2 linked regions of the Lytechinus pictus genome follow. The protein of the gene in region 2 interacts with the protein of the main gene of each other region in a pairwise test. Links are inferred from orthologs where the notes say so. Each region holds a gene or a part of one and is shown on either strand. Other genes may lie near its edges.

The links.
Region 1: the proteins of cytoplasmic protein NCK2-like (region 2) and sorting nexin-33-like interact in a two-hybrid assay, tested with the Drosophila melanogaster proteins (2 studies listed by BioGRID). The link is inferred for Lytechinus pictus from reciprocal best matches to the Drosophila melanogaster genes dock and SH3PX1.

The regions. Positions count from the first base shown.
Region 1 is NC_087250.1:9,496,744-9,503,936, reverse strand, and holds the start of sorting nexin-33-like, read left to right. Parts: upstream 1-4,169; 5' UTR 4,170-5,342; coding exon 5,343-5,354; intron 5,355-7,193.
Region 2 is NC_087260.1:16,429,009-16,436,433, reverse strand, and holds the start of cytoplasmic protein NCK2-like, read right to left. Parts: upstream 3,001-7,425; 5' UTR 2,994-3,000; coding exon 2,004-2,993; intron 1,466-2,003; coding exon 1,262-1,465; 3' UTR 1-1,261. UniProt on the Drosophila melanogaster protein: Adapter protein that links cell surface receptor tyrosine phosphorylation to downstream signaling pathways and effectors, many of which are involved in regulation of the actin cytoskeleton.

The DNA.
Region 1 (7,193 bases), on a different chromosome or scaffold from region 2:
AGAAAATAAAATATTATTCAAAACAAAAAAAATTATTAATAGAGGTCATCATGTGCAGAGAGTTGTTGACTGTGTCATCACGATGGGCACTTCAGGCTGAACAAATGTTTTTACATAACTTATATTAAAAGGTTTGAATAGCACAATTGTTATTTACAAACAAGGAAAACAAAGTCATTTGTCAAATTAGTAAGGATGAAATACAATTTGGAAACGATGAAATGAGTTTGAATTCAATAAAATTGAATATAAAAAAAGCTTACAAGTGCATCAAATGACTACGGTAGTGGAAAAAATGATGGTAGAGAATACTTGACTTCTACATGTATTACTGCTAATGATGATGATGGTGGTGATGATGATAGTGATAATAATAATGATAATGATAAGCAATAATAATGATAATAATAATAATAATAATAATAATCATAATGATAATAATAATTATAATAATAATAATTATAATAATAATAATAATAATAATAATAATATAATAATAATAATAATACTTATAATAACAATAACAACAATAACAATAATAAATAATTAATGACTGTCCATCGCATGGTGCACAGGCATTCCAAGAAATAAATATTCCTGCAAGGTACTAACTAGTCTAGATTCTAGACGTCGGTGCATGTACTTGTTATTTCTCTCCCCTTGCTTCATTCTCCCCTGCGCGCCATCCCCAGTGATCGCGCTATCCCCAGTGATCGCGCTATCCCCTCTTTCATCATGAGGGTAGGAAATTGTGGGGCTGTTTTCATTTCGGGCGTAGAGGTCGAGGATTGTGTTATTGATCTACTGGAAAGCAGAACTGGGGTCCGTTGCGGAAAGAGTTGCGTTTGAATGCAAGTAAAAAAAAATCAATCGCAAGTCCCAAATGCGCGCTGTTGATTGGTTGAAAATCAAGTTACGCATGAATTTTAGAGTTGCGATTGATTGCAACTCTTTCTGCAACGGGCCCCAGTCCTAACAAAGGACTAGCAAGGTACCCAAACGTAGATTGAGCACTGCGTAATGTTTATTTTTTGCTGGAGATGATTTGAACCCATGACAAGTATGCTTCTCTTTGCGTTCAAAGAACATTGAACAAATTTCCTGAAGAAAAAAATTATGACATTCATGGATTTCCATATTGAGATTGGATCAATCATAACTCTTTGTGAGACAGGGCCCTGGTCTCCAGCTGGCTCTCGACCTGAACTCGACCCATCGTCCTCGTGACTCAGCGTTAACTAGATACTTGACTACTTCCTAGATCTTGTCATATTGTCTGCTCTTCAATTTGTGCATTGACACCCATTTGAATAAGCAGTATTTGGTATTTTGCCTGTATGAAAGCAAAGTGCCTGTAATATTCCAGAAATTGGATTTCAAAGTTATTCCACTACGATTGCACTGTTTGCAGTTTCAAAGCAAAGTGGGTATATTACATACTGTAACTTGTTAGGCATTTTTGTGTGAAGCAAGAAGATTTTTATGAACTGTTTCTGGCCAGCTTGTAAACTTCATGTACAGTACTTGTAGTCTGCAGGCACATACTGTATCCTGATTGAAACTTTGATCACCAGTTGGGTCTTCACACAAGACTAGTTAACACATAAAAAAACGTGCTGTTTCAATTTCCCCTTTTACTCAAGTGAAGGGTTTGGACAGCAGACTACATACTGATACATGGTACATAAACTACAAAAAATGAGATATATCATTACTGAGCATGTCAGGGGCGGATCCAGGATTTTCCAAGGGGGGGGGGGGCACATTTTTCCGAGGAATAATTTGACAAGCAAAAAAAAAAGAAAAAACTTTTTAACCAAAAAATAAGGAGATTTTGTTTCAGAAAAAAATTGGACAAGCAAAAAAAAAGGTTTTAAACCAAAAATCAAGGAGATTTCATCCAAGAAAATTTTAATTTTGCTTCTCAAATGGGGGGGGGGGGGGGCACAGGCCGGCTGTGCCCCCCTGGATCCACCAGTGGAGCAGGTGTTAATGCGTATAAAGGAAGAAAAACATGTAGTTGTGTTAATCTGACAAAATTTCCTTTAGTTTTGACTGGGGCTGAAAAGTAAAGGTGTCTGATTGTTACTATTGTAAATGTCCCTCAAATCAGGCTTTGTCAGATAAAAAGAAGTCATTGTCAAACATTTAGTGTATCAAAACAGCACCTGGACTCTGGACAAACAACATTTTTGCAAATTTTTGTCAGCTCCGCAACCTAGGACGATATTCTGTTTCTGTTGATGGTAACTCCAGTAGGAACTGGGCAGGACAGCATTTTGCTGGTAAACGCCAAGCTGGTACTGTATAAGCTGTAATTTTCGCGGGGGTTTTATTTTCGCGGATTGCCGATAGGCCGCGAATTTAAAATATTGACACACTTCTTAGTCAGTGCCAATGTCCCCAACAGCAAAGCTTTGCTATTGAAAACATACTGTGTATTGAGAAAGTGGAGATATGCACCTCTATATGTACAAAAAATAAGGCTTAGAAAGTACAGTTAGTGATTCAAAAAGTTAGCTAGAATTTCCCTTTTTTTAATTTCTCAAACAAAATCAGAGCCTAAACTATTTACTAACATTATTTTATCAATATATATACACTCACTGTAATATTAAAATGTATTTTCCATGAAATAATTTGATTTTATTGTCATCTGATTGACTCTATACACACGTATTGGCAGCTATTTGCATACTCATTAATATTCATAAGTCACATGAAGATAGAGGTGAAGATTCTGTTCACAAAATTCCACATTTTTTCACTTTTACCAACCTTTTGAAAAATTAATAGAACAAAACACAAATTCTAAAGATTGCTTAACCCTATAAATTACAGATCAAACTGTGGCATGATGAATTTTCAGATCTAAAGGTAAAAAAATTGAAATTTAAACCACCTTTTTCCACAGTTTGTAACTGTTTTTACAGGGACATACTTTTGTAGAAAAGACACATCAGCACAGGTACTTTGAAGAGTAGTGATTTGCACTAGTTTTACTTCTTTTAAATGCTGTGGAAATGTTTACTACATCTTCCAATCGCGAATTTAACAACCCGCGATTCGCGAAAAATTCTGTACACGAAAATAACGGCTTCTACAGTATATAACCAATTACATGTACCTAGGAAAGCTTTTACGTGTAGGTTAATCAGAGTGGCTGACGTTATAGACGACGGATATCACTCTAAGGCCTTTTTATCAAACCGGAGACGATGGCAGAGTTGGGATTCAAGCTCACAACCAAGCGATTTTGAGTCCAATACTGTAACCACTGGACCACACGACCCGATATTGCTGTTCTGGTTCACTAATTTCGCCAAAGACCTTCCAGCTGTTCATTGTCTCATCTGTCCCACTACTTGAGGAATATAGCCGCATCAAAATTTTAGAAATTATAACCCGTTCTGTCCTAAAACTAGTTAAGTAGTGAAAATGTGTAGGCCTAATGAGAACAGGCGAAACGGTCTTGGAAGCGATCTTCCAAACCGAATGGAAAACCACCTCGGGATGTAGTGTTCAAGATCTCTTTGCATCATTAAACTGCTTGTAGTGTAAATGTGAGGACACAACCGTTCTTTGGGATGGGAAGCGAGCTTCGCACATGTGGTGTGTACAGTAGAATGCCTACACTGCGGTTTCAAATTTTGCGCGAAACTGAGAACGTACCCATTACATCAAGATGAAAACCACTTTCAGGTGATTTAAAGGGAATGCTAGCAAAGCCATCTTCCAAACTGGTCTCCTGAACCGGTTTCTGGTAAACTACATGTACATTTTAGGATTGTAATGAGAACGGTGTCTTGGTCCCATACTCCATGGGCCCGTTGCATAAAACTTTTGCATAAAAAATTCTGGCAATTTTTTGGCCAGAGTTTTTTAATGTGTAATTTTCAATGGCATAATTTTGTTTGCCAGCGTTTTGGTTTATAATAATAATAGTGTATATTTGTAGAGCGCGCACACCGTCAGTAGACGCTCATTTGCCAGACTTTTTTTTTATGGCAAAAGTTTTATGCAACGGGCCCCATGTCTGGCCCCTCTATCTTTTTTAGCTCGTTATGCTACATGTAGTAACTTTCACCACCTTATTTCCTTGACTCAAGTTCAAATGGGAAGAGCCCACTTTGAAGGGAATATGTAGTTCTCTCAATGTGTGACAGTTTAATGTAGACTTCTGCGGATGAGTCATAAACATGGGAGACTGTCTTTGAGGAAAAGCGATTGTCGCTTCTCTGGGAAGCCGAACTGCTTTTAGCCACAGTGACATCATAAGTGAAGGGAAGGCTCTAATCGCGGGATGACTGAGTTCCTTGATTGTTATACATGTGTACTGGACATGGCTTTATATAGAGCTCTCAACTGTACACTGTTAAACATTAACAGCTGTATGAGTTTTTCAAGTCCTCTGCATTGCTCTATATTTGTGACGTGACGTGGGCAGCATTAGAACAAGAATCGTGTGGTCTTGCAAAGTATCCTTGAATGAAGAACTTGCAACATCATCCGCATGTACGCTATTGTGAATCTGAGAGTGATACATGTTTTTCAGGAACTTCTAGAGATATTTTATTTTTTCAGAATTGGAGATGAACATATTGGAGAATAATAGCGAGTAACCTTTACTAATTTGCAAATGTGTCTGAGAGTTATAAAAGAAACTTCAATTTGTTTTTCTCAGAATTGAAGATGCAGGAACTTTTGCTATTATGAGTGATATATCAGGAATTAAGGTTTTTATTTCTCAGAATTGGAGTATCTGCTATTGTAGGTCTGAAACTTTGAAAGGAAGATTTGAGGAACTACCATAGAGGATTTCCCCTCAGAATTGGAGATTCAATACTTCACTTTGTATGATACTAAATAAATAAAAAAAGAACAAAAAAAATAAGTCCAATGTGTTCGAGGGATGTTTCTATAAAAGGAATAATCAAATTCACTTGAGGATGGCATTATTTGGCTGAGTTCTTCACATCCTTTTCTGGCTGGTTCTCAGAAGTTGTGTACCTGATACTGTAGGCCTACATCCTTCCTTGTGTGGGATTCCATACAATGTGTTCTGATCAATTTGGCCATTGACTCCCCTCCCTACATGTACACATCCTACATTGTTTGTTGCTGACATTGTTGATTTCGTATGTAAATGTACATGTACATGCTGTGAGCCCAAGGTTGTAATCAACATCTATTGTACATTTGTGAATTGAAGTGAACATTTCCTTGGAAAGGGACAAATACAATTATGGACTACATGTTTGCTGAATTTTGGTAATCGCAAGTTGGAAAACACTTAAACAAGTTTTAAAAAGTGGAATAGTGTGTACTATAATTCTTTCACCATGATGAAAAAGGTAAGGTCAAGTGCAATTAAAGTTCTTATTTCACTTTTTTTTAATTTGACCAATTTCATTAGTTTTTTTTGCAATGACAACATAATGTTATCTTTAATTTTCTTGGATTCTTTTGGGTTCAGTTTGTCCCAGAATACCACAACAGTTGTGTAGATTTTAACTTTAAAATGCCAAGTCTATCTCAACTCCTTTTAACTTTTACAAGGTTCAAGGGAGTTAAATGCCCTGATATTTTTTCTCCATAATTGGATGTGATATTTTTTTAGAAAGTTTATGGCATTTCTTTCAAGGCTTTGCTCAGTTCACAAAGTTTTTGTGCCCCACACCTGCAAATGAGGCACTAGATGTGTTTCTGTGCGTAATTGGCATTGTCGTAGCTTATGAATTGAATTAACATTTGCACATACATGTATTGCCCGTGTTTATGGGTAACTGTTTAGTGTTTTGTTGCACTTGACAAAGTTTTTCTTAAAAGTTCATTAGATTTTGTGGTGGAATTTCACCTGTTATTCCATTTGATTTTCTAAGTTTATTCAAATCCTCTTTATTGGGGTAGTGTGGCCCTTTAAAAACAAGTTAAATTTGTAATTGTGCACATGAAAGGGAACTATTTAGATCTGCCTTGTGTCTACAATGCATTGTCCAATGCAGGATACTGCCTTTGTTCAAGGAGAAATGATTTATCAGTTTCCTTCCTTTCAAATCTTGCCAAGTACGAGGCATCAATGCATGCATGGTCTGATGCCATTAATATATAATCCCGAGTCGAATCTCGAGTAATAGCAGGATAATTCGTAAATAGTGCGCTATTTTGCAAGTAATCCTATCAAAGTTAGAGATTAATCCAGCGAACTACATCATATCGCGATGATTGCGATTTTTCAAATCGGGATAATTTGCCGGATCAGAAATAGAGCGGTTGTTTGAAAACTCTGGCTGGTGCAGACCGCCCCATGTACCACTTAAGCCCTAATCCTCCTAAAATTTCTCATAATATTCCCTTCATTTAACAACTTTTCTTCATGGCTCATTACTTTTATCGTTAACAAAGTGGCTTGTGACAACAAGTGTAATAGCCAGAACGAAAGAAGACAGAAGGGAAAAAAACTGAAATACTGTACACATTTGTGCTTTATTCGTCCAAGGGTAAATTAATATTTACTCTGTATGCATGGTGTGTAATAATTCTCAGTTGCGTCCATGCGTCCAGACAATTGGTCATGGCGATTAGGTGCATGTGAGAAATGATGCTTACAAAAACATAGAATACAGATGTACATGTAGACGTACACATACTACATGTATCTATACATTTAAATGTAAATGCAAGTAAACAAGTATCAAACAGTTATTTCATCAGAAAGTCTTTATTTAAAATCAAGGTCAATATAGGCCTACTTGTTGATCTGGTACATTGAAATAAACTGATCTTTGTGAATCATGAAATCTTCGCTCAAAACCTATAATTCTGATGATCACTATAAACACAGAAAGGGATATCAGGCAGTGTACTAATATTGCTTGAAAAAATATCCGACATTTGAATTTTTGAGGGAATTCTGTGCTTCACTATATTTCTCAGCAATTACACATTTTCTTCCAGAGTAATTTGGCACATATTTTTTACAAACACTTGGGTGGTCATTTTATTGGATTCTGTTAAATAATTAAAACTGATTTTGAGATCATTACCACAACTGGTATTATATCTTTAATTATGTTTTTTAATTTTTCATTTGTTTATTTATTCATTCATCAATTTGTTATTTTATTGTATTTTCATTTTAATATATATCTAATTCATTATCACGCCTATAATGTAATAATAAATTAATATTA
Region 2 (7,425 bases):
AATAGCACACTTGTCTATGTATTGATCAGTCACTATTGAGATGGGTAATGGAATCTGTTCTTCTTGTATAGACCATACAGGTTCTGCCATAGAGTGTAAGCAATTGTAATACTCAACATTAGTACATGTATACCTTAGTTTCACTAAAGACCAAACTTCGAGGAGAAGACAGTGAATTAACAAAGAGAGAGGGAGAGGGATTGTACAACAAAATGGCTAACATTAGAAATAAGTGAAAGTTGTGAACAAGATTGAAATTATCATCAATGCTACATGTAGCTATTGAATTCTTTTCATTTTATTTCCAAAGAATATCGTGAAAAGGGATATTCCTCTTCCAATGTTCTTGGTTTCTAAATCACAACAAATAATTGCCGCAATTGTTCAACCGATAATTTTTGTGTAGTCCAATACCAATACTTTTCCGTGTGCAGTCTGCAGTGAATGCAATTTTTGGAAGAATGTAGTCAATTTGTTATCACTTGGGCCATTCTCTTTCCAACTAAACCAGTTCGTACATGTTGGTGCATTACAACGAAAACCTCTATGGCTTTGAGAAAAGGTGAAGTGTACTAACAGGAGAAAAGGACACTTCTACTCAGTAGGATTACACAATTACGTACAAGTACTTTGTTAAATTCAAACCAGAAAGTTAACAATATTAGGGGGAAGATCTTGGACAAAAGCAACACTTGGAAAGTAGACAAAAGGTTTCCATAAGTTTCTTTGAAGGTCTGAAATAAAACTGACATTAATGCTTTTTTTCTTAATGCTCGATGATCCCCAACAGCACTTCATTCACTAGTCTGTTGAGTCTTGCAGCTATCACAAAGCCTGTGTATGAAGCTCATCCTATCATGATTCATATAGCACAATGTCCTAAATGAGGAGGCTCTTGCTGGTCAATAACTAACAGTCCAAGAGCTACATGTACATCTCAAGCATTCTTCATGTGGTTTCTTTGAAAACACATGTGCATGTACATTGGAATCTCACTTTGGTACATGTATATCAACATAGCACGGTGAGTCCCACAAGGCTCCAAGTTGGGACCTATGCAGTTCATTCTCAGAGTTTATTCATTCTTTACTGTACTCTCACACTCTCTTTCTCCCTCTCTCTCTCTCTCTCTTTCTTTCCTCACTCAATAAAGAAATGTAATCCCTCACAGGCGAATAAAAGATATTAATGCACACCCAGGCAGTTTTTCTTCTGTTCATGCTGGGGTATTTTCAGCGTCCATTAGAAATCACCCTTGACATTAATTTCTCTGATTCGGCCGTGTTAAATACAGCTTGAGTTCGCCATCGTCTGAGCTGAATATGGGTGAGCGTTTGTAGTGGTCTACGAGGTCATCTAATGACTCAAACTTCCGCTGTCCGATACAGAACTTCTTATCTGACCGCGTCACTTTGAAATGCTTCACTCGATCTGGAGCCTTCACAGACACAGCAAAGTCACCAGGCTGCGAAAATGAATAAAAGATAATAATTGTTCTTATTTCGTTTTTCCAAGGAATCATTTGATTTCAACCTTCTCAACTACTTCCTACATCATACTATGATACTGATGATTAAACCAATATTTAGAATGTTTTATATTCATAATTAAAAGTTTTATTGATTTCATGATTGTTTGTTGATAATTAGATTTAAGGCAGTGCTAAGGTTGAAATTTTGCTTTAATAATGTGCAGATTATCCCTTGAGACATTGTATTGAGAGATAATATAGAATCTTGAGATTACATTGCTAAACCAAACCAAAGTCCTAAAAATTTTGCACTGAACCAAAAAGACATTAAGGGTTGATGTATCTTATATATCTCAAACATGTACATCAACTTTAAAACTTCTGAAGAAATATATAACATGATAAATACCAAAGTCCATTGAGATTAAATGGCCCTAGCATGTATTTATCAAGGTATGGTGCCCAAGTGAACTTGGAGCGCACCCAGTTTAGACATTAAAATAACCACTTCTTTAGGGTAGCCTGTTCTTACCATTGTTTCACTCTCTCGTATGAGGAATAATCCACTTTCTCCAGGACAGCTCAGAATCTTCTCTGAATCCCCTCTGGTAATTCTTCCATGGAACCAATCCCTATCGTAAAATCTATCAGAGGGCGGAGCAAAGTTGTTGTCGTGCTGCGGCAAATCAATGGGTTTCGGAACAGCATCCTCAATAAAAAAATTTGTTGGGCACACAGGGTCCGCATTCTCTACAACCTTCACATAGTTGCTCGGAACTAGTCCTGTATTACCTTTCTTGTTGCGTGCTCTCCACCAGTCCTGATCGTCGGAGGGATTCGATATAATGTCCAGCGACTCGCCGTTTTCAAAATTTAATTCTTCTTCAGTCCTTGCCTTGAAGGCATACAGAGTTGTAACACCCAACACAAAGTCATCTGGGATGGAGTTGTCGTCACCTTTTGAACTCGTGCTGGAACCGTGACTATTTGGCATATTGGTGTCCTCCTCGCTCACATAATTTGAGGGGAACCACCCACTCTGTCCATTGCACTCTCCTCGCCACCATCCGTCCCCGGACTTCTCCAGAACGTTCACTTGCTCACCTTTGACCAGGTTGAGTTCGTCGCCTTGTGCGGCTTTATAGTGGTACATGACCCTTGCGAGTTGTGAGAATGGCATTTCGCCTCCGGTTTGGGCCGGGTGTGGATGTGGGCTTTCGCTGTGGGGCGGGGAGATCGGACGCGATGCCGGTTTCTGTACAGTACGCTTTGCAGAGATCCCCTTCCGGATTCTCTCCACGAGGCCGAGTTTGTCTCGCTTCACATAGTTCGAAGGGACATAGCCACATTTGCCATTCTGTTTCTCCACCCTCCACCATGATCGGGAATCGTCGATCAGCTTGAGTTTCTCGTTCCGTTTGATGCTGAGCTCTTCTTCTTGCTTGGAGTCGTAGTCCCATTTAGCGACTACCAACACAGCCTCCTCATCCGTCATCTCTGTAATAAAGATAGAGAAACACATTAATACCATCTACGATCTCTTCAAATTATTTGCCTTGTATACATTGTATATATCCTTTCGGCTTTGCATTATCAAAGATCCCATGAAATCGGTCTTTGGACTATGATTACACATTTTTTACTGCACTTATTGCAAGATATCCGGGACACATGATTGTTTTGAATAAGGATTGACTTATTTATTCTTATTTGAAATATTCATGTACATGTAGGACTTACATGTGCATGTAATAGTTTCTTGGTTGAGCTTTTATCATAAAAAAAATCAAGTACCAATATGTTCATAGCAACAGAAACCACGATATCTGATTGAAAACAAAAATAATCATTATCGAATTCTAGTACATGATGTCGATATTGAGCTTTCGGGACAGGGGATACATGGACATGCTTTTATAAAGAGCATTCAAATACATGTATGCACTGAAAAAAAATTGATAAGGTCACGTGTGCAGTTTACATGTACATGTAATCTACAAGCTGTTTTCCTTTTTTTCAGATAACCAAATTTTTGGGAAGGGAGGAAAAGGAAAAAAAATGGATCCTGGTTTTCAGGAACTGTAATGTAGTAATTTTTTCTACATGTAATAACCAAATTGTTGTTCCAAGTACCAGTCTATTTTTGTAGTAATCAATGAATTCATTACATTGTACATTCATAGTTCACTAATTCTGCAAATTCTTCTCCATTGTGTTTGCCCCTTCTGCCATACCTCTTAATGAATTTTTTTTTCTTTTCTCCTGTTTTTACACAAAACCCCATTCCCATCGCCCCCCGCTCTCTCTTTCTCTCCCTTTTCTCTCTTGTACATGTATGAACGCCAATCCTTCATTTTACTTTCATATGGACTGCAACACATTTTGATTGAACCAAAATGGGTTCACACTTTTCAACCCATAATCAATTAATAAATTCAACACTGTATCTCTTTTGTTCTTGGCATTTCAAAGTATAAAATAATTCATAAATCATCTATTATTCATTCCATCACCATCTTCGAATCGATCGTGGACTGGATTAATCATATTTGGATTACACCAATAGAATGTTAAAATGAGTCGAAGCTACACAATGTGTGCTCAGAGTGTATTGATCACAATACACACACAAACATACATTTACACATGTATGATATATGCATTGATCACTATATGTACATGTATGTATTGATCAGTACAAAACATTCATAGAGAATAAAAATATAAAAACTAGAAGAATTATGGAAATGTAATGTACTGAAGCATGCTTTATTTGGAGGGAAGTCTTCCAAATTAAAATATAGGCTAGGCCTACAGTATACTGTACTATACATGTACATGCATTTAATGTCAGCAGGAAGTTTATTTCACAGATTTGAGTAATCATGAAAAGTAATCAACTGCATATTAAAAGGGAGTACTGTACTTGAAGATTTCAGTTACAATCAATAGCACCCACTCTGTTTATTACACTGGATGTTTGTTTCATGTCAAACTACAGTATTTTGGAAATGTACATGCACATGTACATGAATTTGTGCAATGTTTGTGTTTTTAGTGTTTACTTGTACGTCTAACATTTCTTTTCAGCTTTAATTAATGTACTGGAATTTGGGAATCTAGAGTCCCACTGGATAAATGCTGTACACTATACATATGCCATCGACCAAGTACATGTACCAACAGTGGAGCATAAAGCAAGGTGATTCATTTTGTCACAGCTCAACAAAATGACCCTCTCTCCCATTTGTTCTCATACAAATTCCACAATAACCTACATGTATATATCCCCCCCCCCCCCAAGTTACATGTAATACCAGTATAAAGCAAAAAGAATACATGGCAACAAGTCTTGACACTGACTGCAATGCATATAGGCCTCCAGTCATACAGTACATGTAACTCCTTGGTCATACATGTACATCTGCTCTGCTCCATATGACCGTACATGTACAGCATTACATCAAAATTTGAACTTTACTTTTATAATACAGGGAGATTACACATGTATGTGCCAGACTGAAAATAGGCCTCCAACGTAATTGATCCGCGGCTAATCACGGAGCCAAAAATAATAATTCCTCGTTACATAATTTGCAGAACTAGTTTGTGTGAGTCGAACCCGCCCTGCGATGAATCATCGCCGCAGCTCGAGATTAACGCTAGCCTTGTCGGCAGACTTTCAAGCCCCTATTAAGCTCACCCTACGCGATCATGTGCAATGATGGAATGGCAATAGAGTTCTTTTTTTTATAAACATGAGGGATGCAAGTATAATGCCAACATTCAATGAACTCTAAATCCATACAAGAATAATTTTGCTCTATATCAGTCTCACTAGCACAAAAAAGAATGAAATCAATTTTTTTCACTTAAGGATCAATATCTTTCAGTGCCTCCGCTAATACACTTAGTTTAAAAATATATATATTTTACACGGATTCTGTGTAAATGATTAATTTGATTTCGTTCTTCAAATAGTCAACATTTTATCAATACCATTTTGCATTTTGAAATTTGTAAACTGAGAATGTCTTGGAGCATTGAAACTTCCTAATGAGTAATGTCCATTAAACACAGTAGTATTGAGGTTTCCATTAATCATTATCATCTACATGTATACTCATAATCCACTATATAAATGTGCTCCTGAATACTTGGAATCATTTTACCTCAATAATTCTTGCCTTTACAGTGTACGCTCCTTTCAAATTTTCTCTTTTGTATCTTACGAAATTACATGTAATAATACTTGCCGTTGTTAAAGTTAAACATTATCCCTTGATGAAAATACTAATCAACCATCCTTGGGAGATCCTATTAACACATGCTAATCCAATATCTCTATCGCTCATCAAGCACTTCACACAAAGATACTTTAACACAAATCCTGGTATAAGTGTAAGTCCAATATTCCAATTTCCTGGAAACGAGCGATGGGGAATTCTAGTCTCTACAATGTACATCCAGACAAAGTTCCATTTCCGTGCTATTAGTATTGTTTGATGAGAAATGGCACTATACTCACAAATCCAGAGAGCTTAATAAAACTGTTAATCCAAGCCTTTCACAGCTCTGTTTTAAGGCAAGAATCTTCAGATCCTGGCTAGCAAAGGGAATAGCAAGATACATGCAAGTGCACATCATTAAAAACCAAACGCAAAGTAACGGTAATGTAATAGCCAGAATCTGTAGGCACTACATGTACATGAAAAATTTATCAGTTGTCTCGTCAAGTACATATATAGCCTGGAAGGAGTGTCTATAAGTAATGAATTTTGCAGCGAGTTCCGCTCGTCCTTATGAAAAATAGTCGATGAGCCTGTATGGCCTATAAACTACCTCACTCTCACTTTCACTGTGCCGACACTTCATTATTACACACACGATGAGCGACCTAGCCAAAGTCTGATTAGATCGCAACTTCGGGAGGAACTTGAAGTTCCTGTTCCCAAGATCCGATAGGGGGCAGGGGGTGGGGGCAACGAGGGAAAGAGGGCACTCAGGGAGGGGGAGGGGGGTATTTTGCAACCACTTCAACAGGCGGTACTGAGTTTGTACACTGAAGACACTCGTGGACTTGATAGTCTAGGCAATCTAACCACGCTTGAGCCTCACGATAAGTTAAGTGCCATAATCAATACCAGATGTTAACACTGTACGGTAGTTCTTTTTACCTCATTGAACATAGGCTTATAACATGAAAAGATACCAGTATAGTTCACATTATAAGATGTACATATGTATATGGCCAAGTTTAGAAATTCAAACAAATTCAAACAAAATTTGATGTAAACTGAATTGTAAAAACTAAACTAAAAAGAGGCCATGTGGACTTGATCATTTGTTAGAATAAAGTTAATGTGCATGAGTTGACCTCCCATCATTAATTCAGAGCCAAGTTAATTTTTCAGACCATGATCTGCAAATCATGTGGAATATGTATGTACATATAATATACATACAATGTAAAAACGCGGTTTAAAATTTTAAGCACGTTGTTTAATTAAGCCCGTCACTCTAACAACTACTGTTTAAACTTTTCAAACAACTGTTTAAACTTTTTAAAGAACTGTTTAAAGGACTGTTTAAACAATTACAAAAAAGTTTAAACAACTTGTTGTTAGAGTGACAGGCTTTAAACAACGTGATTTTTTTTTAAATGTGTACATGTACCTTTTTACTTTAATAGTCACATTTCTTGTAATAAAGTCAGACAGATGAGTGGTCCAGACAAATTTGAATAAGGCAGAGTCCTCTATTTACATATTATTATTGTTATCATTTTTGTTTGGTTTTTAAATACTGTGCATCAAACTTCTTATTTGTACAGCATTTTTATTTAGTATTTATACTGCAATGTGTACATGTACCTTTTTACTTTTATGGTCACATTTCTTGTAATAAAGTCAGACAGATGAGTGGTCCAGACAAATTTGAATAAGGCAGAGTCC